Sus scrofa: one gene and its partners. The protein of the gene in region 4 binds, or shares a complex with, the protein of the main gene of each other region. Links are inferred from orthologs where the notes say so. Each region holds a gene or a part of one and is shown on either strand. Other genes may lie near its edges. The genes, in order: RBMX2, CRNKL1, SNIP1, SRRM1, SNRNP40, CWC15 and SRRM2.

Region 1 (4,101 bases), on a different chromosome or scaffold from region 4:
TAATCAAAGAAATCAAAGAAGATGTAAAGAAATGGAAAGATATTCCATGTTCCTGGATTGGGAAAATCAATATTGTAAAAATGGCCAGACTACCCAAAGCAATCTACACATTCAATGCAATCCCTATCAAATTACCCATGACATTGTTCACAGAACTAGAACAAACAATCCAAACATTTATATGGAACAACAAAAGACCCAGAATCGCCAAAGCAATCCTGGAGAAACAAAAACCAAGCAGGAGGCATAACTCTCCCAGACTTCAAGAAATACTACAAAGCCACAGTCATCAAAACAGTGTGCTACTGGTATCAAAACAGACAGACAGACCAATGGAACAGAATAGAGAACCCGGAAATAAACCCTGACACCTATGGTCAATTAATCTTTGACAAGGGAGGCAAGAACATAAAATGGGGAAAAGAAAGTCTATTCAGCAAGCATTGCTGGGAAACCTGGACAGCTGCATGCAAAGCAATGAAACTAGAACACACCCTCACACCATGCACAAAAATAAACTCCAAATGGCTGAAAGACTTAAATGTAAGACAGGACACCATCAAACTCCTAGAAGAAAACATAGGCAAAACACTCTCTGACATCAACATCATGAATATTTTCTCAGGTCAGTCTCCCAAAGCAATAGAAATAAGAGCAAAAATTTACCAATGGGAACTAATCAAACTGAAAAGCTTTTGCACAGCAAAGGAAACCCAAAAGAAAACAAAAAGACAACTTTCAGAATGGGAGAAAATAGTTTCAAATGATGCAACCGACAAGGGCTTAATCTCTAGAATATATAAACAACTTATACAACCCAACAGCAAAAAAGCCAATCAAGCAATGGAAAAATGGGCAAAAGACCTGAATAGACATTTCTCCAAAGATATCCAGATGGCCAACAAACACATGAAAAAATGCTCAACATCGCTGATTATAAGAGAAATGCAAATCAAAACTACCATGAGATATCACCTCACACCAGTCAGAATGGCCATCATTAATAAATCCACAAAGAACAAGTGCTGGAGGGGCTGTGGAGAAAAGGGAACCCTCCTGCACTGTTGGTGGGAATGTAAACTGGTACAGCCACTATGGAGAACAGTTTGGAGATACCTTAGAAATCTATACACAGACCTTCCATATGACCCCGCAATCCCACTCTTGGGCATCTATCCGGACAAAACTCTACTTAAAAGAGACACGTGCACCCACATGTTCATTGCAGCACTATTCACAATAGCCAGGACATGGAAACAACCCAAATGTCCATCGACAGATGATTGGATTTGGAAGATGTGGAATACTATGGAATACAATGGAATACTACTCAGCCATAAAAAAGAACGACATAACGCCATTTGCAGCAACATGGATGGAACTAGAGAATCTCATACTGAGTGAAATGAGCCAGAAAGACAAAGACAAATACCATATGATATCACTCATAACTGGAATCTAATATCCAGCACAAATGAACATCTCCTCAGAAAAGAAAACCATGGACTTGGAGAAGAGACTTGTGACTGCCTGATGGGAGGGGGAGGGAGTGGGAGGGATCGGGAGCTTGGGCTGATCAGACACAACTTAGAATAGATTTACAAGGAGATCCTGCTGAATAGCATTGAGAACTTTGTCTAGATACTCATGTTGCAAAAGAAGAAAGGGTGGGGGAAAAATGTAATTGTAATGTATACATGTAAGGATAACCTGATCCCCTTGCTGTACAGTGGGAAAAAAAAAATATTAACCCCACCTCACAATTGTTAAGGATTTCATAGGAAATAAATTCCCCTACGAATGTTTCCTTCTTCATCTGTAAAATGGGGATATTGGCACTTACCTCACAGAATTGTAATAAGAATGAAAATAAAACAATGGCTATAAAGTGCCTAGCACAATGTCTGTTGTAATAATCTCTTCGAATAAACTGTCAAATTACAGAATGTGACACAGTGAATATGGAAATGATGATGTGGCCATGGACGGGGAAATAAATTCTGCGTGAAGGGTAATGAAGGGAGAGGGAGTTGGCAGTAATACCGGATAGTGGCTGATACCAGGAGTTCTCAAACCCCACAGTTCTTGCTGTTCCACTTGCTAGCTATGCGACCTGAAGGAAGTCCATTAACTTTTCTGCATCTCAGTTTCCTTAGGTGTATAACTAGAGGACAAGAGGATGATAATAACAGTCTCTGAGAAACCAAACGGCACGATTCTTAGCACACTGAATGGCAGGCAGTACCTATCATGAACGCTGATTTGGCAGCGAGAGCAAACTAGAAATGAGCTAGAAAAGCGACCTGGAAAACGGATTTATAGGCCGACAGTGGAAGTAAATAAAAGTGGGTGATGAATGTCGGGAGGAATGATGGGCGGGAATGCTGAAATGTTAGGAGGCAGGCCAGGAGAGAATGAGAAGCCCTGCGGGAGAAAGATGTGGGCCTCACCTAGGAAGATCCAGGCGCTGTCCTTGTACTCGGAGTGCCAAGACACCTTCTCCGCCACCCCCAGCTGGACCTCACGCTCATTCAGCTCGTTGATCAGCTTCACTTTAGTTAAAGGGCTGCACAAGGGGCGGAAAAGCGGACAAGTAAGCGCGGCCTAGCCTGAGGTAAAGGAGAGCAAAACTGGGAGACTAATTTTCTAGTATCTGCGCCTCCCCCGCTCCTCAGCCTCACAAGTGCTCTACCACTCCAGCTTCAGTGAACTACCCCCGGCCGCCTGTCCCCTTTTCCCAAAAGGAACCTGAGGCCTTACTTCATCTCCGCGGGTTCGCCCTCAGCACCTAGGAAGCGACTTCCGGGAGAGGCTGCAAGACGCATGCGCGACCCGGCGCTGCGCGCCCATTGGTCTCAGCTGCGCGCTTACGCCGCGCCGGAAGAGCCGGGCCGCGCTGGGGCGTGGCGCCTGCGCACTACGTCAGTAAGCGGCTTCTCTTGTTCCGCCGATGTCGCTCTTTTTCTGTAGACCCTCGCTTCCACCGTGCTTGGAGTTGGACGAGGGTGCGAGCCTGGTTTGTTACAGGACTCCGAACTCCTAAACGATGCCTGGCATTTATTGGGTTAACTATAAATGTTTTTTGAAGGAAGACTTTGAGAGGTGCCTGATAACGGCGACTTGAGTCCCATCCTTCTCTTCCAGTGCAAATCCTCATTCTGTCCTTAACTCCCAGCCAATTACTCACACGCACACCGCCATGAAAGCATCCCTGTTCAGGAGTTACAGCAGAAATGTGAAAAAGCTGTGTGAGAGGGTAAATCTTTTTGTCTCAAATCGCACCGCATAGGCAACTGACCACTGTGCCTCCATAGGCTGAATTGAATACCCAGATTTGTGTGAATGCTGCTAACCGTTTTCCATAGTCTGTCTGCTACTCAAGCAGGAGGTAGGAATTGGTATTGTTAAATTAATAACTAACAGTTGAGCAGGTAATGATAGATTGTGTGCTAAGCAATTTACATGTATTGGCCCTCCTGTGAAGGCTTAGATACAATTATCCTCCCCGTTTCGTAGCAGAAACTGAGTTTAAAGGAGTTAAATAACTTGGATGGTACTCTGTCTCTATCCATCAGATCCACTTGATTTATCGGTCCTTACTGAGCATCTGTATTTGTCCTATACAGTAAGTCTGCAGATGGGAATGTAAGGTTGGGTTCTCTGCCTTCAAAGAGCTAATAATATCATTGAGGAGACAGGGCTTGATAGATTTGACTCCAGAAATAATCAGGAACCTGTAGAAGAGATGATGGCATGTAATGTGTGAATTAAGCCATTCTGAAGATTCAAATCCATCTTGCATGTGTCCACATCAATTCTGGCCTTAGACCATGCAAATTATGTCAAAGTCAAATTATGGGGCTGTATAGTTCTCTGTGTAGGCCTAGCTCACAGCCCCAGAAATTAAAAGCACTTTGATGATGGTGACAGTGACAACTGTACCCTCAATGGTTCACCATGTACCCAATGTCTTCCCAAGAAGCAGAACAGGCTGCCCACCAATGACAGTTTTTGTGTCTGTCCCCCTCCCCCACTTCCAACCCAGCTATTCATTAACTTTGTAGAATTACCTTGGCAATGAAAACTAAACAGTGACAGATT
Region 2 (3,500 bases), on a different chromosome or scaffold from region 4:
GCTGGTGCTGTGGTGACCACAGCCTGTGCTGGATATTGAGTGGGAGGCCTCCTTTTTTTGCTCTGTGGTTGTCACAGGCCTGTTGAGGGCAGGGTCTGCTTCCTAAGTGTTGAAGTAGAAGCCCCCAGCTCCATTTCTGAGCTGTGGTGTGAGGTAGGTGGGACTGTAGCACTCCCACTAGGAGAGGAGCCACTGAGTATCCCTCCGCTGGAGCCGTCCACTGGGGAGTGTGTGGTGTCGCCTGTCACCCATTGTGCAAGCTGACAAAGTACACTCCTTTTGGCGCTACCCTCGACCCACCTCAGTTGTGGGCATACAGGTGATTGGCCCTGGGGTCCCTTCAGGTGTTGTGTTCACAAACCCACCAGTGCAGATCCATAGGTGCCGATCCACTGAAATCAGGTACTGGGACTACAGTAGTCATGCCCTTGGACCTTCCGTGGGAGCCGTGCAAGCAGCCCAGACCCCAGCCCAACTCCACATGCACGCACACACAGCTGCCAAGGCTGGCCCCGCTCTAGCCATGGAGCATGACTGTCCACTCAGATGTCCCACGGGCGCTGAGTTTACAGAGCTGGCAGCTGTGGCACAAATCCGTGGATTGCACAGCCTCGGGGAGAGGGCTTAGGTTTTAGCCCTGCTTTCTTAGTGCACAGCCCCTGGGATCAGCTCCACTTCTGGGTGTGGGCAATCACTGGCACTTGCGTGCTCCCAAAGCTTGTAGAGGTGCCGCTGTGGCTGAGTGCATGCTGAGGAAGGGGCAGCTATGGTGAGCCTACCTCTCCCTTCATGGGGCCCCTTAACAATGGCGCTTAGCTTCTGTGGGGGCCTGGGCTTCCCTGTACATCCTGGGTTGTGGTCCATACCCCACTCCAGCCTCTTCAGGCTGTCTCCACGCAGCCAGCTTCAGTCCTCTCCCTGGATCTGTCCTTTGAAGCCCGATTTTCATCACCTGGCCCCTACACATAGGAGGCGCGTGTCTTGGGGTAGAGACAGCAGCGAGGTAGCAGGGATCCTCTGGGCTGGTCTCTCTGTTCTGCCTCCCACCAGCTGGCTGCTACGCTCTCCTCCAAGCCTCTGAAGCTCCCTTTCTGTCCCAGCTGATCTCCCCTCGGGTGAGGGGTCTTCCCAGGATGTGGGCCATTTCCTCTTTCACAGCTCACTCTCAGGGGCACAGGTCCTGTCCGGCTTCCTTCTTCTTTTTTCTTTTTTTCCTTTTCATCCTATCTGATTACGTGGAGATCTTTCTGGCATTCCGGGGTATCTGAGATCTGCCCGTGTCCAGTTAGTATACTGTGAGAATTGTCCCACATGTGGGTATATTTGCAGGAGGAGGGGAGCTCCACGTCCTTCTGTTCCTCTATCTATCTTGATCTGCCCCCTCAATAATGATATATGTAGATATAGATTTTTTTTTTTTTCTTTTGGTCTTTTGTCCTTTTTAGGGCCGCCCCCGTGGCATATGGAGGTTCCCAGGCTAGGGGTCGAATCAGAGCTGTAGCCACCAGCCTACACCAGAGCCACAGAAGAATGATATTTCTTAATGAAATAGCATGTGAAGTCTAGAAAAAAGTGGCTAAGATATAGGAAGTCAGTCTGGTGCCACCTTTCATCTCACATAGTCCAGCAGGCACAGCTCTTCGGTTTTATTTACCGGCCTTAACTTTCTAGGCTAACCCGCACAACTACGACGCTTGGTTTGATTACTTGCGCTTGGTGGAGAGTGACGCCGAAGCAGAGACTGTGCGAGAAGTGTATGAGCGTGCCATCGCCAACGTCCCGCCCATCCAGGAGAAGAGGCACTGGAAGCGCTACATCTATCTTTGGGTCAACTACGCCCTGTATGAGGAGCTGGAGGCAAAGGTGCGAAGCGGCGGGGCCCTGGGCAGGCGCTGACGGGCTCCTCCCCCTGCGCCGACAGGCTCCTCCCCCCTGCGCTTCGGCTCAGCAGGTGTGGTGGGAGCAGACTCTTAGAATCCTTGCAATAGGAGTTTTGCTTTAGATTCTCATAAGCCTCCATTCAGCCAAATAATGAATCATTCTCTCTGCCAGGTTTTAAACTCTGTACACCTATTGTGGGCACAGGTGTATAGAGTTTTAAGTTGGCATTGTATTTTTCTTAACCTTGAGGCATAACAAGAGTATTACTTAGAACTTGAAAGGGAACAATGGGCCACCCCTTAGTTTAATTACATATAGTTTCCTGGATTTTCTGATAAATAGTATCACAGCTGGATTGCATGTTCTTGCTTTTAGTAAAGATCAAGGGAGTGCTCTTGTGGCACAGTGGCTTAGGAACTCGGTGTTGTCACTGAAGCAGCTTGGGTCACGGCTGTGGCACAGGTTTGATCTCTGATCCAGGAACTTTCACATGCCACAGGCACAGCCAGAAAAAAAAAAGAAAAGTGGAATTTTCAGAAGTTGTTTTGTATAGGTTAATGGGAAAAGATTAATTTTCTGTTTTTGATCTGAGGCTATAGCACATCTTTGTTTCTGCTGTCAGGCAAAAAAGCCTTTCCACAGAGAAGCTTTCAGAGTTTGAAGACTATGTTATGGGTAATTCTTTAATCAAAGTTTGGTGGCCAAATGTAATTTACTTTGTGTGTGTGTGTGTGCTTTTTAGGGCCACACCCACGGCATATGAAGGTTCCCAGGCTGGGGGTCAAATCAGAGCTGTAGCCACCAGCCTACACCACAGCCACAGCAACTCAGGATCCGAGCCACATCTGCGACCTACACCACCACTTACATCAACGCGGGATCATCCACTGATCGAAGCCAGGGATCGAACCCATGTCCTCATGGATGCTAGTCAGGTTCGTTTCCACTGAACCACAACAGAAACACCTAATTCACTTTTGATCATAAATGGAATAAGGTTTTGAAAGTACCTTAGCATATTCAGTGTTGGGGTGTACCATTTTTATCAGTAATAGTAAAATTAGTATTAGTAATAGATGTGAACTTTTTGTAAAAATTTCTCATCCTGATACAGGATCCCGAGAGGACAAGACAGGTTTACCAAGCCTCTTTGGAACTCATTCCTCATAAAAAGGTACGTTTGCCCTTAGTGTTCTGTTCCAGACACATCAGAGTCCTGCCTCTGTGGCTTGTGAAACCATTCAGTGAAATACCTGTGCAAGGCACTGTGAAAAACATAATGAAGAACAAGACATGCTCTTTGCCTCTGAAAACAGCTTGCAGCCTGGTTGAATGGACAGCCTGTGTTAGGTGACCAGTGACTGACACAGATAATAATGTAGAAATGCAGGGGCGGAGGGTAAGCCGAACAGACCGGGTGAGAGAGGGAGGTGCACTCCTGGAGCTCTCACTGAGCATGCGGACAGCCAGCAAGGGTCTGTTGGCCCCCAGTGGACATGTAGGCGTGAGGAACACGTGTGTTGTGGAAATGGTTGACATGTGGTCTCTGCCATCTTTCCCAGCATGAGAGACAGAGATGTTGCCCGAGGTGCCCTCTGGAATAGAGGGGGAGTGTTCTG
Region 3 (4,193 bases), about 11 Mb from region 4:
TGGGAAAATGGTTAAACCCATACCAGTGAATATCATTCGGCAATAAAAAGAATGAACTACAGAGATGCAATAATCTAAATGCATCTGCAAAGAATTTTGCAGAATGGAAAAAAGCCAATCCCATAAGACTGCATACTGTATGATTTCATTTACATAATATTTGTGAAATGACAAAATTACAAAATGGAAACGAGATGAGAAGCTGCCAGGAATTGAGGGCTAAGGGTGCGAAGGAAATGAATATGACTACAAAAGGACTATATGAGGGATCTTGTGGTGATGGAAAGGTTTTGCATGTTAACTGTATTGATGTCAATATTTTGGTTGTGAATAGATAATCAACAAGGACCTACTGTACACCAGAGGGAACTATCATTAAACTATACTTTAATTAAAAACAAAAACCACTTTTCCCTTAAAAATTTTTTCTGGTTGGAATAGAGTTCTATAATTATGTAAAATGCTTCCAATGGGAGAAACAACCACTTCTGTATTATTTTCTTACAACTGCAGGTGAATCAACAGTTATCTCAAAATAAAAGGTTTAGTTTAACGAAGTAAACAGGCAGACAAAAAAACCCCAAAAAGCCAGTTTCTAGAAAAGCCCACCGCAGGCAGAGGTGAACACACACACAACACTCCAGCTCTGATGGAGCCGGTATGAAAACATCTCAATCCGCTTACCTGCTTCACTTTGACTGTTGAGTGGTGAGGACTTCGGCTTCTCCTACTCCGGGGAGACTTGCTTCTTCTCCCCGAGGACTTATTTTTCTTTCTCGGTGGGGACCTGTTCAGAGAATGGTACACATAAATTTCATCTCAATTTTCATTCGCTCATACAAATTAGCTTCAAGTATCAGGCCTATCTACTAACACAAACATCACATTTGTGAAGGCTTCTGCTGATCACACTAAAGGAGTCAGGAGCTTCACTTTTTCAGCCCTGAATGTCTCCCACATATGTAGCTGCCAATTGAAACTTCTCACTTCGATAAGAGAAGGCTAAATTCCCACCTCTCAACTTTCCTATCTTTGCCATCAGGGTAACTGATACCACTATCCATCCGTTCCTCAGGCCAAAAACCTAGAAGTCATCCTAGATTCTTTTTTTTTCTCCCCCTTACCACCAAGAGGCCCCATGCTCCTCCCCAACACGCTCACAATCAATCAGCAAGTCCTCTGGCTCCAGGCTCTACCTCTTCTCTCTCCCACCGCATTCCTACCCACCTCACTATACCGGATCCCCTCCCCTCCTCCTTTTCTAGAAGGAACACAATTAATTCCACTTCAGGATCTTTGCACTGCTTGTTTTCTCTGATTAGATCTTTACAAGCCTGGATTATTTTTATCAATCAGGTTTCAGGTCAAGTGGCAGACTTTTCACAGAGAACCACTTCTCTCCACTCTCTATGACATTACTGTCTTAACCTATCCCTAGTACTTGTTACTAACAAATTATTTTCTTTATTTCCTTGTTATTCTGTCTCAGGGCTAGAGCATCTCAGTTTCACCAGGGTAGAGATCATCTATCATGCTCATTCTTTCCACCCCAATACCCAGGACGGCCTGCCTGCCTGCCTCATATTTTCTTTTCTTTTTCTTTCTTTCTTCCTTTTTTTTTTTTTTTTTTTTTTTGTCTTTTTAGGGCCACACCCTTAGCATATGGAAGTTCCCAGGCTAGGGGTCAAATCAGAGCCACAGCTGCTGGCCTACGCCACAGCCATAGCAACACAGGATCAGAGCCGCATCTTCGACCTACAATGCAGCTTATGGCAACGCTGGATCCTGAACCCACTGATCGAGGCCAGGGATGAATTCTACATCCTCATAGTCCTCAAGAATACTAGTCCAGTTCGTTACTGCTGAGGTACAATGGGAACTCCCATTATTTTCTTTATTTCAGTTTTATCTGTGTATAATTTTACAGTTTGATTCAAATTCCACATATACATTTATATTTTAAAAAATTGTACATAGCTATTTTCCACATTATTTTATAACCTATGAGGTCTTTAGCACATAATAAGTACTCGACAAAACTATGTCGAATGAATGAATAAATTGTTCGCAAAAGACAATTTCCCCCCAGAATATCAGACAGATCACCTAGGCTCAGGATATGAAAACTTCTTGGGGCAGATAACTGAAAAAATAACCCCATTTGGAGGCAGGTGGGAAAAATCTTTCATTTCAACATAAACTATCATTGTCATCAGCTGGACCATACTCGGAGAAATGCTGAGCACACAGAGATGAAGGAGCAAGAACTTGCCCATCAGGCATTAGGCGTTTAACGCCCAGGTATAACGCAAGTAACAGGTATCAGAGTAAACGTTAACACACTCACAACCGGTCACTTCTATCGCCTTAGGATTAATTCAAGCTGCCGCGCTCAGCATTCAAGGTGTGCTCCTGGTGCCAGCCCTGTCCCCCTTTCTCAAAAAGCCCGACCTCAGGTCTACCCCAGGCTGCTTCCCACTTACCGGCTACCTCCTCGAGCTCGGTTCCCGCGGTGACCGGGGCGGCCTGACTCGCCGGCCAGCGGGGAAGGGCTACCGCCGGAGGAGTCCGGACGGCGATGGACAGGAGGCGCGGATTCCGGGCTGAGGCGCTCCTGCTTCACCACCACCGTCGCCGCCGCCACCATGTCCCCGTCCCGGTGCCTTCGCCGACTTCCCCGCTCCCGCTCGCTCTTCACCTCCTTCATGCTGTGAAACGGCTGAGCCAAGGAAAAACAGGACCGTCGCGCTCCTCTCCGTGAAGGAAATGACGGACTTGAGTCCTGGACTTCCGCTTCCGGGTGCGCGCTCTCCCAGAAACCCTCGCGGCGGATAACGCGATCAGAATCCCGAGTGGGCGGGGCCTTAGGGACCCGACTCTGTGGGGCGGGAGTTTTAGGTTTCAAAAACAAATTGGGGGGAAAAAGCTCCTCTCAAGGTTGTTTGTTGACGCGTTATTACTAGTTACTAAACATGGGGACAAACTACACATCCAGCAGTAGAAAAGAGATTATGTCACCATTTGCAATGGTATTTACAAACTATACGACAAATGGAAAAAAGTCTGACTTGTTAAATGGAAGAAGCAAGATGCAAAATTGTGCGCAGACTGTGATGACATTTACGTTTGGAAATACGAAGGAAAGGGGAAGAGAAGGAAATGCAATCACAGATCGTAGCCCGGGCAAATCGTCGGCCGGGCAAATCGTCGCCATTTCTCCATTAAAGGCAAACTCTTTTTAAAACCTGGGAACTTTAAATGCCTTCCTCTGGGAATCTTCCTCAGCCTTCACTGAGGAGTCAAATGATTCCATTTGCGGGTGACAAAATCCAGGATCAGCGAAAGTGATCTGCGCCTTACTCAAACCGTGAGCTGGACGCAGCGAAGGGATCCAGAACTCAAGTTTCCCCTGCTTCCAAGAGTGCTAAGGCGATCCCGGTGAGCAGGAGGCTTGACAAGCTAAACGCAGGAGAACTTTCCTCGAAGGTTGAGCAGAAAGAAACTCTCGAGCTGCTGGCCCCGCCCCGCCTCGAAGCCCCGCCCAGGCCATGAGGATGTCAAGGACGTTTCCATGGCGACGGCAAACACTGCCCTGACAGGAGGGTCGCTGCTGTGCTGCTACCCTCGCCGCCGCCATGATCCCCCCCGCCGACTCTCTGCTCAAGTATGATACCCCGGTATTGGTGAGCCGCAACACGGAGAAACGGAGTCCCAAAGTAAGGAGGAGTCTCAGGATGGGGGAGCTCGGAAACTCCCACGGGGAATGACAGATCCCTGCCTTGAGGATTGGGAGTCCCAAGGGACAGAGGGTGCAGTGACTGGGAATAAAGGGAATTAGGACCAGGCAAGGAGGGTGGGAGAGCGGTACAAGAAGCCCAGATGTTGGGTGATCCTAAGGGCAGATTTAGGATGGGAAAAAAAGTCACAGAGAGATGGATGGGGCTCCCTGCCCTATCCAGGTAGTGTACAAGGATAGATCTGATAGTGACTGGCCCCATCTCTAAAGGTAAGAAAGTAAAGGCCTGAGCAACATCTGCACAAGGAGATAGAAGCATTGAGTTGGGGTGGGACCAGAGATTCTTCATGGCCTCCTTCAGCTCTGAAACATAACTTCTAATGAGGAAGAGTGATCTGAGAATGGGGGAGAGGTATGCGAGTGACCCGGTGAAAGCCTGCCAAAGTGTGTGGAGCTG
Region 4 (3,500 bases):
CTGAATTTTACTGATGTGTATATATCTTTCTAGACATCTTCATGAATTTTGAAAACCAAAGAAAGATAAACTTTTTGTATCATTGTATTATGACTTGGGATTCTGAGAAGAGGGGGAAAGTAAGCTTTTTTTCCCCCCACAGTGACATCCTGAAAGTTCCCAAGCCTGAACCTGTACCAGAGCCTAAAGAACCTTCTCCAGAGAAGAATTCCAAAAAGGAAAAGGAAAAGGAGAAGACCAGACCAAGATCTCGGTCACGTTCCAAGTCAAGATCCCGGACACGTTCTCGCTCTCCTTCTCATACTCGACCTAGAAGGCGCCATAGATCCCGATCAAGGTGGGTAATGGCTGTAATATCTGCCTAGATCTTAAATTTTATGTGCTAACTCTCCTAGATAGAATTGGGTAAATTATTTCAAAGCAGTAGAAAAATTTTGCACAAATGTTAAACTTTGAATTTAGAGAGAATTTGAGGGCACTTTGTATGGTCTGTAAAAATCTACACACTCATATCCCTTGAAAACCGTTTTTTGGATGTAGTTGTCAAGAAAACTATGTCAAGGTGTTTGTTCTTGCTCAAGATTTATTCAGATTCTAATTCTGTTTGTTATGGTAGATCATACTCCCCTAGAAGGCGGCCAAGCCCAAGAAGACGGCCATCTCCTCGAAGAAGAACTCCACCGAGACGAATGCCTCCTCCACCAAGGCATAGAAGGAGTAGATCTCCAGTGAGACGGTGAGAGGTGGTTTTTTGTTTTGGAAGTGACCATATATTTGTTTTAGGCTAATCTTTGAATTAGTGTCATCCTGGGAAAAAAGAAGTCATGAGTGGTATTAAGCAATGTCTTATAAAGATCATCCTCATTTGAGGTTGTAGTGCTGTTACTTGTGCAATGCTAAGCAACACTAATCCAGATTTGGAAAATTAAAAACAAATTCACTATCTTATTGATACTTGTTATCTGTGTTAACCTTGATCTTTTCAGATGCTACCAAGAAATCCTATCAAGTAAGGGAATTGGCTGCCTTACCCTTTCTTTGGGTTTTAACCATTAGCTTCTAAATATAGATGACTGCAGAGCCAGTTGATTGCTCTACCAGTATTAAAATAATTCACTTGATTTATACTCTTAAAGATTTTTTTCATATTTAAGAAGTAGTGAGCAGTTATTATAAACAGTTAAAACAAGTAAAACGAACTTAGAGTTACCCAGTCCCATTCCATAGATATAACTATTGTTAGCAATTTGAAGAGGCCGCATAAAAGTAACCCTGTCAATACCAGTGTTCCTTTTTAAAAATCATTTTTAAATTAGCATAAGGTGGAAGTTGCTGTTGTGGCTTAGTGGTTAGGAACCCAACTAGTATCCATGAGGATGCAGGTTCCATTCCTAGCCTCGCTCAGTGGGTTAAAGGATTCAGCATCACTGCAAGCTGTGGCATAGGTCGCAGATGTGGCTTGGTTCTGGTGTTGCTGTGGCTGTGGTGTAGGCTGGCAGCTGCAGCTCTGATTTGACCCCTAGCCCAGGAACTTTCACGTGCTACAGTTGTGGCCCTAAAAAGAAAAATCAATAAATGAATAAATTAGCATAATCTATCACTTGTAATAGAAAAATTGTTACATCTGCCCAAAGTGGAGGCATGGTGTACTGGTAGCAGAGCTTTGTACCTTTTAAATTTTTTTTAATTTTTAAATTAAAAAAAAAAAATTATGGCTGCACCCAAGGCATGTGGAAGTTCCTGAGCCAGGGACTGAATCCTAGCCATAGCTGCAACCTATGTGCAGTTGCAGCAATGCCAGATTCTTAACCCACTGTGCCATGGCGAGAACTCTAGTTTTGTGCTTTCTTGACAATACATTTCACCTGTTTTTGGAAGGACCTGATAATTATACTTCAGATTATACTTAGGACAGAGTTTTTGGTTTTCGAGTTTATTGAACCATTTTTTATAACTACTGCTAAAAATTACGGAATTGATGTTACCATTGATAAATAAATAAGACTAAGGATGTAAATGGTCAGCCAGTTTAGGCGTCATACTTTTCTAAAAATGATTGTTCCTTAGAAAAGTAGAGCTACTGCTTTCTAGTAGAAGATTAGTGGAAACAGCTATTTCTTACATTGGAGTTTTGCAAAAAGTGTGTTTTAATTGCTTACTGAGCCATTTAGCAGTCAAATAATTTGCAGATTGTGTAAGATTCCCTTTCAGCCAGTTTTTATCTCACACTTAAGGTAGGGTTTCTTTTTTTCAGGTTCTCAGGAATTCTTCCGCCAAAGGTGAATTCTGCAGGTACACATAATTGCACAGAACTTACCACAAATTTTGCCGCAGAATTCGAGAGGCCCCTGCTTCTAAGTTTATGTAGCTAAATGAATTCCTAATCCTGCACATCTTTTTTTTTAAAAATGCAGCCTAAAGGTTGACATTTTATTATTGAGTGAAAAAATACTTTGCCATCCAAATTTTATATGCAAACTCCAAAACACTCATTATTCCAAGGAAGGAAGAGACTGGCTAGTTATTATATTGTAGCACTGGACATATTTTATAGCTGGAAATAAAAATCAAACAGAAGCATTTATCAGAATAAGTTATTTGTAGTTAGTCTCAGAACTAGCTGTTTCCTGCCTAGGTTATGGTGTTGTTTCCCTTTAAAAAATTAATGTGCTTAGCTACATAAACTCAAAAGTTGGATACAAATAGCTGTATTTTTGTGTAAACTGTACATTCCTGTAAGGTCGTTCTCGGTACGTATGCAGTTAATGAATATGAGCACTTTATTCCACAGAAGAAGGCGTTCATCAGCATCCTTGTCTGGAAGTAGCTCATCATCATCTTCGTCTCGTTCCCGGTCACCGCCAAAGAAGGCTCCAAAGAGGACATCCAGCCCCCCTCGAAAAACTCGTAGGCTATCTCCTTCAGCAAGTCCTCCAAGGCGAAGGCATAGGCCCTCACCTCCAGCAACTCCACCACCAAAAACTCGTCATTCCCCAACACCCCAGCAGTCAAATCGTACAAGGAAGAGTCGTGTTTCTGTCTCTCCAGGGAGGACTTCAGGTAAAGGTAAAAATCAATATGTTCTTTCTTTGTTCATTTGGCTACAAAATACCTAGTCGTCATTGTTGTCAAAGTATGAAGTAGCTGGGTAATATTCGTATGTGATGTTTTTATAAATTTGCTGAGAAGCTCACCTTTTCTTTCGTGCTGTAAGTTCTTGGGGTTTGTTAATGGAGTCTACATGGTAAAGCGTTTTGCTCTTAGCATGCCCTCGGCGTTGAGTAGGTGGAGAGATGTGCTATTACCAGGCGTGGGCTGTTTGAGTTGAGGTAACTTAACTGAAGTTTGTGTTGTCATGGTAAGGGAACATTTTATTATTATGAGACCAGTTAACTTTTTTTTTTTTTTTTAACCCAGAAGATTTTTTGTTTGATACCTTAATTGAGGACTTCATATTTTGTTTTAATTCTTTCTTGGCCACATTGTACTCCCCAGGGCTG
Region 5 (3,500 bases), about 5.5 Mb from region 4:
ATGGCAATGCCAGATCCTTAACCCACTGAGCAAGGCCAGGGATCGAACCTGCAACCTCATGGTTCCTAGTTGGATTCATTTCCACTGTGCCACGATGGGAACGCCTAGTGTTAGATGTTTTTTTGCTTTGTTTTGTTTTGGCCCCATGAGCATGTGGAAGTTCCCATGTTAGTTTCTTGATTCTGATGATTGTGTTCAGATTATGTAGGGAAACATCTTTGGAGAACAAATGTAGTAAACGCTGAAGTATTTACAAGCATCAGAACATGAGGGTAGCAATTCTAAAATAATTTAGGCAGAAGAAGAGTTCACTTTTGCAGCTTCTTTGGTAAGTGTGACTATTTCAAAATAAAATAATCTTAAATTATGGTTGTGGAGTTCCCATCATGGCTCATTGGGTTAAGAACCCAACTAGTATCCATGAAGATGCGGGTTTGATCCCTGGCCTTGCTCAGTGGGTTAAGGATCCAGCTTTGCCTAAAGCTGTGGTGTATGTCACAGATGTAGCTTGGATCTGGCATTGCTGTGGCTGTGAATGCAGCCCTAAAAAAGCAAAGCAAAAAAAGAAACAAACAAACAAAAAAAAACGCCTCAAGAGAACCTCTAACTTAAAGTCTTTAAAATAAAAATCCTAATAAATTTAAAATATTAGGATCTGAAATATGACACAAATGAACCTATTTATGAAACAGACTCATAGACATAGCGAACAGGCTTGTGGTTGCCAAAGGGAAGAGTGGAAGGAGGTGGGATGGACTGGGAGTTTGAGGTTAGTAGATGCAAACTATTACATTTAGGATGGATAAGCAATGAGATCCTATGGTATAGGACAGGGAACTATATTCATTCTCTCAGGATAGACCAGGATGGAAGATAATACAAGAAAGGGAATGTGTATATATGAAGGACTGGGTCACTTTGCTGTACAGCAGGAACTGCCACAACAGGAAGTTACCATTGTGGCTCAGCGGTAACGAGCCCAACTAGTAACCATGAGGATGCTGGTTTGATCCCTAGCCTCTCAGTGGGTTAAAGGATCTGGCGTTGCCATGAGTTGATGGTGTAGGTCACAGACACGGCTTGGATCTTATGTGCCTGTGACTTTGGCATAGGCTGGCAGCTGTAGCTCCAATTCAACCCCTAGCCAGAGACCTTCCATATGCCACAGGCCCTAAAAAGCAAAAGAAAGAAAAGGAAGGAAGGAATTGGCACAACATTGTTAATCAACAATACTTTAATTTAAAAAAAAATTTATAAAATGTAAAAATTTTTAATTTTAATTAAAAAGGAAGAAGGAAGGTCCATTCATCTTCCTCAGGTACTTAGGAACCTATACCAGGATTGTAGACTGTTGTCTTCAAAGCTGTTGCTGAGTAGGAATGGAGTGAGTTAAAATACTGCAAAACTCTTCTTACTAGACCCCAGGTGGGTTTTTCCTCATTAAATATTCACTTGGTTGCTGTAAACTCTAGTTTCTAGAGTTTTGATAAAGTTGATTCTGCCAGGTTTTTTGCCAGGTAAGTCTCTGCTCTTGTAGGAACAATTTTTGGGCAATCCCTGCTCTTGCCTTTTTCACTGATGTAGGCTCCTCTGTCTGTCCCCCCGCCCCCATATATATATATATTTTTTTTTCTTTAAATGTAAGTTGCAGCCCACTAATGAATTAATATCTACAGTTTGAAAATACTGAACTAATAATACCCTTTGTATACTAAGAACATATGAACTAATAAACAAGGTAAAGATTTTTACTCCAAGGACATGTTTGTTAACTGTGTTTATTCAAACTTTAAGTTCCCGTCGCGGCTCAGTGGTTAATGAATCTGACTAGGAACCATGAGGTTTTGGGTTCAATCCTTGGGCTTGCTTAGTGGGTTAAGGATGCTGCATTGCCATGAGCTGTGGTGTACGTTGCAGATGCGGCTTGGATCCACATTGTTGTGGCTCTGGCGTAGACCAGTGGCTACAGCTCCAATTAGACCCCTAGCCTGGGAACCTCCATATGCCACGGGTGCAGCCCTAAAACACACACACACAAAAAAAAAAACTTTAACAAAGGAGTCTGAAAATAGAACCAGCGTGATTTGTTCCACCAGCCTTCAGATATGTTGGCAAAATTATAGTCACTTTTCACGATGTTTATAGGATATCCAGACAAGTTTCGGAACAGGGTCCCCATTTCAAATGTTTTCACCTCTGTAAAAGTCCTTGGACTTAAGGGTGTACTATGCAGTTGCTTCTTAGAGTGATGTTACTGTAGATTCTCTTGTCTTCTTTTTCAGCTTTGGGACATCCGTAAGAAAGCAGCCATCCAGACATTTCAGAATACCTACCAGGTGTTAGCTGTGACCTTCAATGACACAAGTGATCAAATTATTTCTGGTGGAATAGACAATGATATCAAGGTATGTTAGATGTTTGTTATGTTTACCTCTCACCTATCTCCACTCACAGAGGTAAATTTTTCCATACTTCTTAGGTTTGCACTTTATACCAACTAAATGGAAGATAATAACTTAGAAGTCGTTTCCTTTCTGTCCTATCCTCATTGACTTCCTAAGTCATGGTTGCATTGCAGCTTGTATAAATGCTGTCAGGAACCAGGCAGTTAACGTGAAATAGGAAGTTCTTATGTGTGAACTTTGAAAGTGAAGAATGCATTCCCTGCCTAAAGGTATTTGAAACTTTTTTTTTTTTTTTTTTGGTCTTTTTGTTATTTCTTGGGCCGCTCCCGCGGCATATGGAGGTTCCCAGGCTAGGGGTCCAATCGGAGCTGGGAACCGAGCCGCGTCTGCAACCTACACCACAGCTCACGGCAACGCCGGATCCTTAACCCACTGAGCAAGGGCAGGGACCAAACCCGCAACCTCATGGTTCCTAGTCAGATTCGTTAACCACTGCGCCATGACGGGAACTCCGGAAACTTTTTTTTTTTTTTTTTTTTAATTTGCATTGGGGAGTTCTGTTGTGGCTCAGCAGTAATGAACCCAACTAGTATGCATGAGGACTCAGGTTCGATCCCTGGCCTCATTCAGTGGGTTAATGATCTGGCATTGCTGTGAGCTGTGGTGTAGGTGACAGACACAGCTTGGATCTGACATTGCTGTGTCTGTAGGTCAGCAGCTACAGCTCTGATTCCATCCCTAGCCATGGAAACTTCCATATGCCCCAGGTTCGGCCCTGAAAAGACAAAAAAAAAACAAAAAACAACAAAAACCCCTGCATTTGTCTCTTGAGATAGCAGTAAATCAATTTGTGATTCTGTACCCTAATCTCTCAGTATGTCTTTCTTTTTGAGACTATAGAAAGGAAGTTTTGAGGGATCCATAGCTAAGAATGTGAGAAGGTAATGATGTTGGAGAAAGAAGGAGGCAGTAGACTATGTGGCAGTATAGTGTAGCTAAAGCTTTCAGGTAATTGACTTGGGGTCTGATCTCAATTCCACCATTTTGCGGTTTTTTGTTAATTCAAGGTAGTTCCTTAACTTCTTTCAGCCTCTG
Region 6 (3,500 bases), on a different chromosome or scaffold from region 4:
GCAGAGCTAGGTCAAACGTGATCTGCATAGTAAGACGTTTCAATCTCCCAACAGCTCTATCCGCAACCAAACAAGGCATAACAACCATATTGTGTAATACGAGTATCATCAATGTAGTTTTTTGCTCTATCCACTCTCCCCTCAGCTTACTCCCAAAAGGCTTTCCCCCCTTCTCAACACCAAATCGCTCTTCCTCGGCGCTAACTCCCATGGCCACCCCGAAGTACTCACTTTGCTTGCCCTCATCACTAGCTGACCTAGATAATCACTCCCCTCTTCTGGAAACACTTAGTGAGACTCCAAGACACTTACCAACGTCTTTTGGTTCATTTCTTCCTCACTGGCTGCTCCTTCTCAGCCTAGTTTTTTTCATTCATAAGTCACTGAATCAATTATTTATTGAGCACCTGGTACACACCAGGTACTGTTCCAGGTCCTGACAGCTAATCACCTGCCCAACCTTGAAACATCACCCCAGGCTCAGTCCCCCGGCCTCCTCTTAGGCTGTACTCGTTCCCCAAGTGAGCCCATCTAGTCTTTGTGGCTTCAGGAAACGTCTCTAAGTCGACAGCTCCCAAATGCATGACCTGTAGGCCAGGCTAATTTCAGAACTGCGTATCAAGCTACCTACTCAACATTCCCACTCCGACGTGTACACCATCGCAAAGACACCATGTCTTACGCCTGTCCCTCTCCCTCGCCCCTCAGTTTACATTCTCCCCCAAATCTGCCCTTTCAACAGCTCAGGTCAAACACCCTGGAGTCTAGTCTCTGATAAAATGTCACCTTCCCAGCAGCAAATCCTCCCTTGACTACGCAGTTGCCATTGTAAGAAGGACTTCTTTTTTTTAACCATGTATGAGTCCGGAAGCCACTGGATGGCTTAGAAAAGGAGAAAGTTATCTTTTATTTTAAAAGGACCATGATGCTGCTATGTTAAAAAAAAACTTGGGGGTAGGGATGGAGAGGGTGATGAGTATGCATACAGACCAGTTAGGGGGACTGCATCACTGCGAGGGAGACGGCAGCAGTGGAGGTGGTGAAAATTAATAGATATGGTTTAAATGTTAAGCCGACAGGGTTCCTCCATCACCTTGTATCAAACAACCACCAGCTTCCACCGAGCACTTTCTGTACATTTGTTTTACTTCCCTGCACGTGAAGCTCTATACACAGCACTGACTGCCTGTATTTACCCCCCTTCAGCCTTCTACTCTACACATGCATGCGTGCGCGCGCGCACACACGCACGCACACACACACACACACACACACACACACGTGCACATACAGGGAAGAGCTCACCCGCAGGCCTGAGACTGACAGCCTTGGAAGGTTGCCTGCAAGCCTGGCCCTTGGCTGGCATTTGGAAAACTGGATTTCAGGAATCTTCTTACTGTCACGGTGTCTAGACTGTCTGCACAAATAATGTGGTCTATGAACACCTGCTTTCTTCTAGGAGTCTCAATTTTTGTATGTGCTAGGCAGAGGCTGCCTATGTGAGTAGCCACTAAAAACCATAGGTATTGGGTCTCTAATGGGTTTTCCTGGGCAGAAACACCGCATTCAGGTTGCTGCCTATTCACTACCAGGGAAAGGGATGTGGTCTGGGTGACCCTTCGTGGGAGGGACAGTACACGCCTTATCCCGTCATGATCTGGTTCACATGCTGAGTCCTCTGACATCTTCCAGAGAGTCTTTGAATGTAAACAGTGGTCCTGGGGACCCCTGACACACACAACTACAATGGAAGCTTTGCAGGGTCAAGGGCCCAGTGCATTGCTCTGTCTCTAGTACCTAGAACAATCGCTGGTACACAGCTGGTTATTGTAACCATATATGGAAAATAAGTTAATTTTCTTTTATTCTCCTTCCATTATTCCACAATGTGATGGAGAAAATTATCAGCGGAGAGTGGAAACGACAAGCTTTACATAATATAGTTTTCTATAAAATTCATAATTTGTGTGTGTGTGTATATATATATATCCAACCCAGTACTATCTAGTACCTTCTTTTAACTTTGAAGTTGGACTGAGGCTGGGATGGGCCAGTGAGGTTAAGGAGAGGGTTTCCACTCAGAATGTTTTCCATACGAATCCTTTCTTCTTCAGCCTTCTGTTCTTGTTCCTGTCAACAACAGGGGAAAATTCGTATTTATTTATATTAACTCTCGGGTCAATCCTATTATACAGCTCACATTGTAGGATTTTAAGAGGGAGATAAGATAAACATCAAGGTAGCATTACTTTTTGTTTTTAAGACATACCAGAAAAGTCCCACTTACCAAAATAAAATAATTCAGCATTTTCATTACAAATATTTCATGCTTGCCGTCATATATTCATTAGTCTCTCTCTGACTTTGAAATTTTTAAGTTGCGTATTTAAACCCACTGTCTTTCTTGAAGTACATAGAAAACTACAAAATTGTTTATTCTAAGAGAATACATCAATAAACATTCTAATAATTTAAGAACATAGAAGACATCAAAAAACTCATTTAGTAAAGCAATTATCTCAATTTTAATTATCTTAATTTTATTAAAAATAATTCTATTTTGTCTTTTTTTTTTTTTTTTCTTTACTATTTCTTTGGGCTGCTCCCGCGGCATATGGAGGGTCCCAGGCTAGGGGTCGAATCAGAGCTGTAGCCACTGGCCTATGCCAGAGCCACAGCAACGCGGGATCTGAGCCGCGTCTGCAACCTACACCACAGCTCACGGCAACGCCGGATCGTTAACCCACTGAGCAAGGGCAGGGACCGAACCTGCAACCTCATGGTTCCTAGTCGGATTCGTTAACCACTGCACCACGACGGGAACTCCAATAATTCTATTTTGAATTACTGACAATGTAAACCTGTATCTCTAGGACTGGTAACAAGTTATTATTAACCAAGATTTATCTTCTAAAGTAAAACAAACCATTATGTAAAAAATTATATTCAGTTAACATGCATTTATACTAATTTTTCTGAGGTTTATCCATTTTATTCTTGATTTATTATTGCTGACTATTTTTATATCTCTCAAGCATCATCAGTTACATGGTTGTCTTTCTTCACTTTTATTTTAGCACTAACCTCTTTAAACTCAAATTATCCTCAGTTTCTTTCTTAGAATTAGAAAATAAAATGGTTAAAGATACTTCATTTTAACGATCAAGTGTGAACAACAGATTTCATTTTTATAAGGCTCAACTACTGGGAGGTGAGAAGATGCAATTTTCAGAGAAATAAATAGGAAAATCCCTTTTGGTCATTTTCAGATCTTAACCAGACAAAAGCAAGGGGCATCTATGATAGATTAAGAACAGATAACTTTCCAAAAACTATATACTTAATAAATTATATTGATGCTAAAAGTAAAAAGACTTACCTCCGAGAAGGTAGAACTATCAGTGCTCAAGCATACAACATATCCAAATTCATAATATAATAACATATGTGAGGGAATAAGGTCCTGCCGATTTTACATTATTTCCTTTAGAGTTACTGGT
Region 7 (3,998 bases), on a different chromosome or scaffold from region 4:
CTGTTTGCAGCTCGTTCTTTTCCCACCCCAAAGATACTATTTATCCCAAATTTCTCCACACTGTCCTTTTATTCTCCCTTGGCCCAACTAACTCCTAACCCCTGGCAACTGAGGCCTCCAAACTGGGCACAACAAACACCAAAGAAAGATCTGTGGCACCCAAGGGCCTGCATTCCAAGTTTAAAGACTGTTCTAAGAATTGACCTAAAGATTTCATGCTACCCTGAAAGTACCCTGAAATTATGAATACAAATCGACTAAATAGCCCCTAAGTATTCAAACAAGTGGCCCAGACTAAAGGCCAGCACGAACATCCGAAACACATGAACCTTGATTTGTATATAACCCTCACACCTCACCTCCCAGACAAGGGGCCGCTTCCTATTAACTATCCCAACTGACGTGGATTCCTTCCCAACAGGCTTTCTCGTGTGGTGTGTGGCTCCCAAGTCTCACCAGTTCCTGATAAATATTAATTTTCAACTCAATTCTCTGAACACATCAAACTAGCCTGCCCTGTTTCAACTGTCCCCTTCTCTACATTCCTTCCCCTACCCTTACTCAGAAAACTCCCACTCTTCGTACCTCACATTCGTTACATCAGCTTTCCCTAAGAGTCCCAGGACCTCACTTCCTGGCTTCCTCCTCCAGCCCTCCTCGCCCTCTCACTCATCATCCTGCACCTGCCACCAGAACTTCTACCCTCTCAACCTGTCCCAACCCGGGTGTGGCTCTGAAGAGCCCTCAAACCCTAGTTTTTCTGATTAAATTTCTTGGCTAAATATACTCTATTCCTTTCTCCTGCTATATATTTTTTTTCTCCAACTCATCCTGTCAAAGGTAGTTTTCACAGGGGAAATGTGTGAGGGAAACAACCCCAGGAACGAACCCAAGGAACAAAGGGAGAAAGTAGTGAAAGCAGAGGGGAAAAAAAATATATATAACTGGATAAAAGGGAAGGCTTCATTTTAGAAACCCCCAGAAGGAACATCTGGATGAAGGTACTAAAAGCCCTCCCCACACCTAAGTGGAGAGAGATGTTGACTGAAATGGCAATGGCCCAACTCTAACAATTTGGAGCCCCTTAACCCTCAACTCTAAGGTTGGGACTCTGTTCAATCCCAATTGCAGACTCTGGAGGGAAAAAAAAAAAAAAATCCCTACTGGGGTAAAGGAGTGACACATAAAGCTAAATCTACGAAAAGTCAGTGGAACTATATGAAAATAAATGAAAACCTTTATAGCATATGAAATCCTTCAACCTCCATTTTTATCTTTTTTTTTGTTATTTTTCTCCGCCCCACTCTAAACCTAAGTCCTCTTTGGCTTTCTATACCCTACTTGGTTTCTGCTTCCCTTGCAGAACGCTTCTGATCTGCAATTAATTCTTCAACTCAACCATTCACCCACACTTCCATACCTCCTCACACAATAATCCTCCCACTCCCTGGAGAAGGAAAACCAGTAGATGATAAGCGTGCACTTTAAAATCTATTAAGTCACAACAGATGGGAACGCTTATAGGGAATGAGCCAATAACGAAGCCACAAACACACCATTCAAGACGGCGCTCAAAACATTTTAAGAACGAATAGACAAAAAAGTGTATCAACAACACACACAGATCATCAAAACCACATAAGGATTCTTAAACTGGGGTTCGCAGTCTGTGCATATGCAAAAAATCATCACCCAAGCATGCGGCAAAAAAGCAAAAGCAAGCTGCAAAGAAAGACGAAAGGGAGGTTTTTTTACTGTTGGAAAATCATCACAGTACCAAACTAACTAAGCAGAAAGGAGTTTCAAAATCCAATAATACGGTATTTAAGAAGAGAAATGCACCAAAAGGGGTGGGGAGTGTGCAGAAAAATGGACCTGAGTAACAGCGCAATAAGCTCAGTACAGGAGCAGTGTGGTAGCTGAGTGGACACTAGGCAGCCCAGAAAACGAAAATACTCGCTCAGGAAGAAATCCAAACTCACACACTCAGGAGAAGAAAAAAAACACAAAACACTTTCTCAATTTTTCGACCCAAAATATATCTTAAAGAGGCGTCTGAGAGGAAACCAAAAACTAGAAGACTTGGGCGCCAAATGAAGACAAAGTCCAGCGTTTCCTGAGGCTGGCAGCCTCTTCCCTAACTTTAACATAACTTTTTGGTAAATAACAAAACACGGGGAAAGAGGAAAGAAAGAGAAGGAGCGAAAGAAACAAAAGAAAAACTGAGAAAGCAGTACATGGCCTGCCTCTACGTACCTAGACTGAAGGACTTTTTTCCTAAACGTTTCCCTTTTTTAACGCTTCAAGACAGAGAGTAACGCATCCGAACTGTCTTAAATCTCTTGGGCGTTTAAGTTCAAGGCCTTCTCTGCACTGGCTGAGCCACCAGGGCCTATTTTCGGCCTTGAGGGAGAGGGAGGGGGCTGAGCGGCGCCCCGTAGTCTGGGAGGCTCAAGGCCGGACCACAAGCCTCCGGGAGGGACGGGTTGACCAAACCGAGAGGCTCAGGGGTGAGGAGCCGGGAGCGCCCCCCCCCGGCGCGCCGCCGCCGCCCCCTCCCCGCCGAGAAAATGTCGGCAAGGACAGCTGCAGGAGGGCCTCCCGGCCGCACGCGCTGGGGAGCCGGGAAGCCGAGTCGCGCGCTCCCCCCTCCTCGCCGAGAACGCGCGCGAGGCCGAGGGCAGTCGGCGGCGCGCGCCGTTACCATGGGGGAGGGGAGGAGGAATAAAGACCCGCGCGCGGTAAGAACCCCGAGGAGGGGGAAGGGAAGGCAGGCAAGCGAGAACGTCCGCACGAGCTAGGGGTGGCCAGCGCGCGTGCGCGCGGCGGCCTGAGCCGTTCTCCGCGCGCTTTGGCCTAGCGCCGGGGCCGCCGCCCCTCCCCCACCCGGCTCGCGCGCTCCCTCACCCGCCGCCGCCGCCTCCGCCCGCCGCTTCCGAGGGGGAGAGCTGTTGCCGCCGCCGCCGCTCGAGGTCCTGAGTCCCTCGGCGCCTGGAGTCGCCGCCTTGCCTCCCCGGTCCGCCCGTCTCAGCCGACACAGACGCCTCCTCGCTTCCTCAGGGGCCGCAGCGGGCTCCGACTGCGCCACTCGCACCCCGCCTGGGCCGCGCTGCACGTCAGCACGACGGACTAAGAACGTCAGCACGCTACCGCGCGCGTCGCAGGGCACGCCGGGAGCCGTAGTACTCTCCACGGCCTTGTGCGCAGGCGCCGAGACTGCACCGGGAAGTGTAGTTAATTAAGGCCCGAGGGAAGGGCAACTCCGTTGTCGAAGAACTATGATTCCCGTCGGCCCGTTGCCGACGCGGTCGGAGGAGCGGACCGAGAATGCAAGCAACGCATTCTCGACAGTTTCCGCTGGGAGGCGGAAGACATAGGGCCTATCGCCACATAGCCAGCGCGAGGGCTCTCCTTGACCTCCCGACTTCGTCCCAGGGTATCCTGGGAGTTGTAGTTCTAGGAGGACGCGGAACCCTTAAGTAGCTTCGCCTTCCCCTCACGCGGCCATTTTGTCTCCCCATGTTGGGAGGCGATGGTCCCAAGCCCAGGGACCCTGCGGCTCCCAGGTGATTGCCGTCCCCTGTCCTTCCGCACCCGGGAGACCTCTACCACCCCGCCCAGACCCCGGCCAGCGGACATCCCGGGAACCCCAGAGCCCAGCGTCTGGCTCAGGGCTTGAGCCTTAGGCCCGGCCAGTAGGCGGTCTTGTTCGCAGCTTCTGCCCGCCGCAGACAGTGTTGAACCGGGCGGCTGCACCCCGGGGATGATTTTTTGTTACCATCCCCCGCCTGTAAGGGGGCGATGAGCTTTTTCTCTTAGGGAACCTGAGATGTATCATATACGTGTTAGGGCGAAAACGTTACCGACGCCCTGAAGTTTTCCACCCCTCTGCAGAGTGCCTGAGTCCAGTTTTTTCCAGTGGGAGAGCAGCCAGTCTCCCTCAGAACAGAGGTGGAAGAAGCGAGGCTTCCCAGGCAGGCCACAGTTTCAGCTGGAGT

The links.
Region 1: SRRM1 (region 4) and RBMX2 share a complex: the UniProt entries of both Homo sapiens proteins name them as parts of the minor spliceosome. The link is inferred for Sus scrofa from reciprocal best matches to the Homo sapiens genes SRRM1 and RBMX2.
Region 2: SRRM1 (region 4) and CRNKL1 share a complex: the UniProt entries of both Homo sapiens proteins name them as parts of the minor spliceosome. The link is inferred for Sus scrofa from reciprocal best matches to the Homo sapiens genes SRRM1 and CRNKL1.
Region 3: SRRM1 (region 4) and SNIP1 share a complex: the UniProt entries of both Homo sapiens proteins name them as parts of the minor spliceosome. The link is inferred for Sus scrofa from reciprocal best matches to the Homo sapiens genes SRRM1 and SNIP1.
Region 5: SRRM1 (region 4) and SNRNP40 share a complex: the UniProt entries of both Homo sapiens proteins name them as parts of the minor spliceosome. The link is inferred for Sus scrofa from reciprocal best matches to the Homo sapiens genes SRRM1 and SNRNP40.
Region 6: SRRM1 (region 4) and CWC15 share a complex: the UniProt entries of both Homo sapiens proteins name them as parts of the minor spliceosome. The link is inferred for Sus scrofa from reciprocal best matches to the Homo sapiens genes SRRM1 and CWC15.
Region 7: SRRM1 (region 4) and SRRM2 share a complex: the UniProt entries of both Homo sapiens proteins name them as parts of the minor spliceosome. The link is inferred for Sus scrofa from reciprocal best matches to the Homo sapiens genes SRRM1 and SRRM2.

The regions. Positions count from the first base shown.
Region 1 is NC_010461.5:106,879,611-106,883,711, reverse strand, and holds the start of RBMX2 (RNA binding motif protein, X-linked 2), read right to left. Parts: upstream 2,801-4,101; 5' UTR 2,766-2,800; coding exon 2,761-2,765; intron 2,567-2,760; coding exon 2,451-2,566; intron 1-2,450. UniProt on the Homo sapiens protein: Involved in pre-mRNA splicing as component of the activated spliceosome. As a component of the minor spliceosome, involved in the splicing of U12-type introns in pre-mRNAs.
Region 2 is NC_010459.5:28,091,372-28,094,871, reverse strand, and holds part of CRNKL1 (crooked neck-like protein 1), read left to right. Parts: intron 1-1,671; coding exon 1,672-1,863; intron 1,864-2,995; coding exon 2,996-3,055; intron 3,056-3,500. UniProt on the Homo sapiens protein: Involved in pre-mRNA splicing process. As a component of the minor spliceosome, involved in the splicing of U12-type introns in pre-mRNAs.
Region 3 is NC_010448.4:93,609,370-93,613,562, forward strand, and holds the start of SNIP1 (smad nuclear-interacting protein 1), read right to left. Parts: upstream 2,801-4,193; 5' UTR 2,708-2,800; coding exon 2,484-2,707; intron 788-2,483; coding exon 685-787; intron 1-684. UniProt on the Homo sapiens protein: Required for pre-mRNA splicing as component of the spliceosome. As a component of the minor spliceosome, involved in the splicing of U12-type introns in pre-mRNAs. Down-regulates NF-kappa-B signaling by competing with RELA for CREBBP/EP300 binding.
Region 4 is NC_010448.4:82,319,192-82,322,691, forward strand, and holds part of SRRM1 (serine/arginine repetitive matrix protein 1), read left to right. Parts: intron 1-142; coding exon 143-337; intron 338-616; coding exon 617-736; intron 737-2,791; coding exon 2,792-3,066; intron 3,067-3,500. UniProt on the Homo sapiens protein: Part of pre- and post-splicing multiprotein mRNP complexes. As a component of the minor spliceosome, involved in the splicing of U12-type introns in pre-mRNAs. Involved in numerous pre-mRNA processing events.
Region 5 is NC_010448.4:87,862,624-87,866,123, reverse strand, and holds part of SNRNP40 (U5 small nuclear ribonucleoprotein 40 kDa protein), read left to right. Parts: intron 1-2,282; coding exon 2,283-2,405; intron 2,406-3,500. UniProt on the Homo sapiens protein: Required for pre-mRNA splicing as component of the activated spliceosome. Component of the U5 small nuclear ribonucleoprotein (snRNP) complex and the U4/U6-U5 tri-snRNP complex, building blocks of the spliceosome.
Region 6 is NC_010451.4:27,037,281-27,040,780, forward strand, and holds part of CWC15 (spliceosome-associated protein CWC15 homolog), read right to left. Parts: intron 2,131-3,500; coding exon 2,012-2,130; intron 1-2,011. UniProt on the Homo sapiens protein: Involved in pre-mRNA splicing as component of the spliceosome. Component of the PRP19-CDC5L complex that forms an integral part of the spliceosome and is required for activating pre-mRNA splicing.
Region 7 is NC_010445.4:39,274,416-39,278,413, reverse strand, and holds the start of SRRM2 (serine/arginine repetitive matrix protein 2), read right to left. Parts: upstream 2,801-3,998; 5' UTR 2,257-2,800; intron 1-2,256. UniProt on the Homo sapiens protein: Required for pre-mRNA splicing as component of the spliceosome. As a component of the minor spliceosome, involved in the splicing of U12-type introns in pre-mRNAs.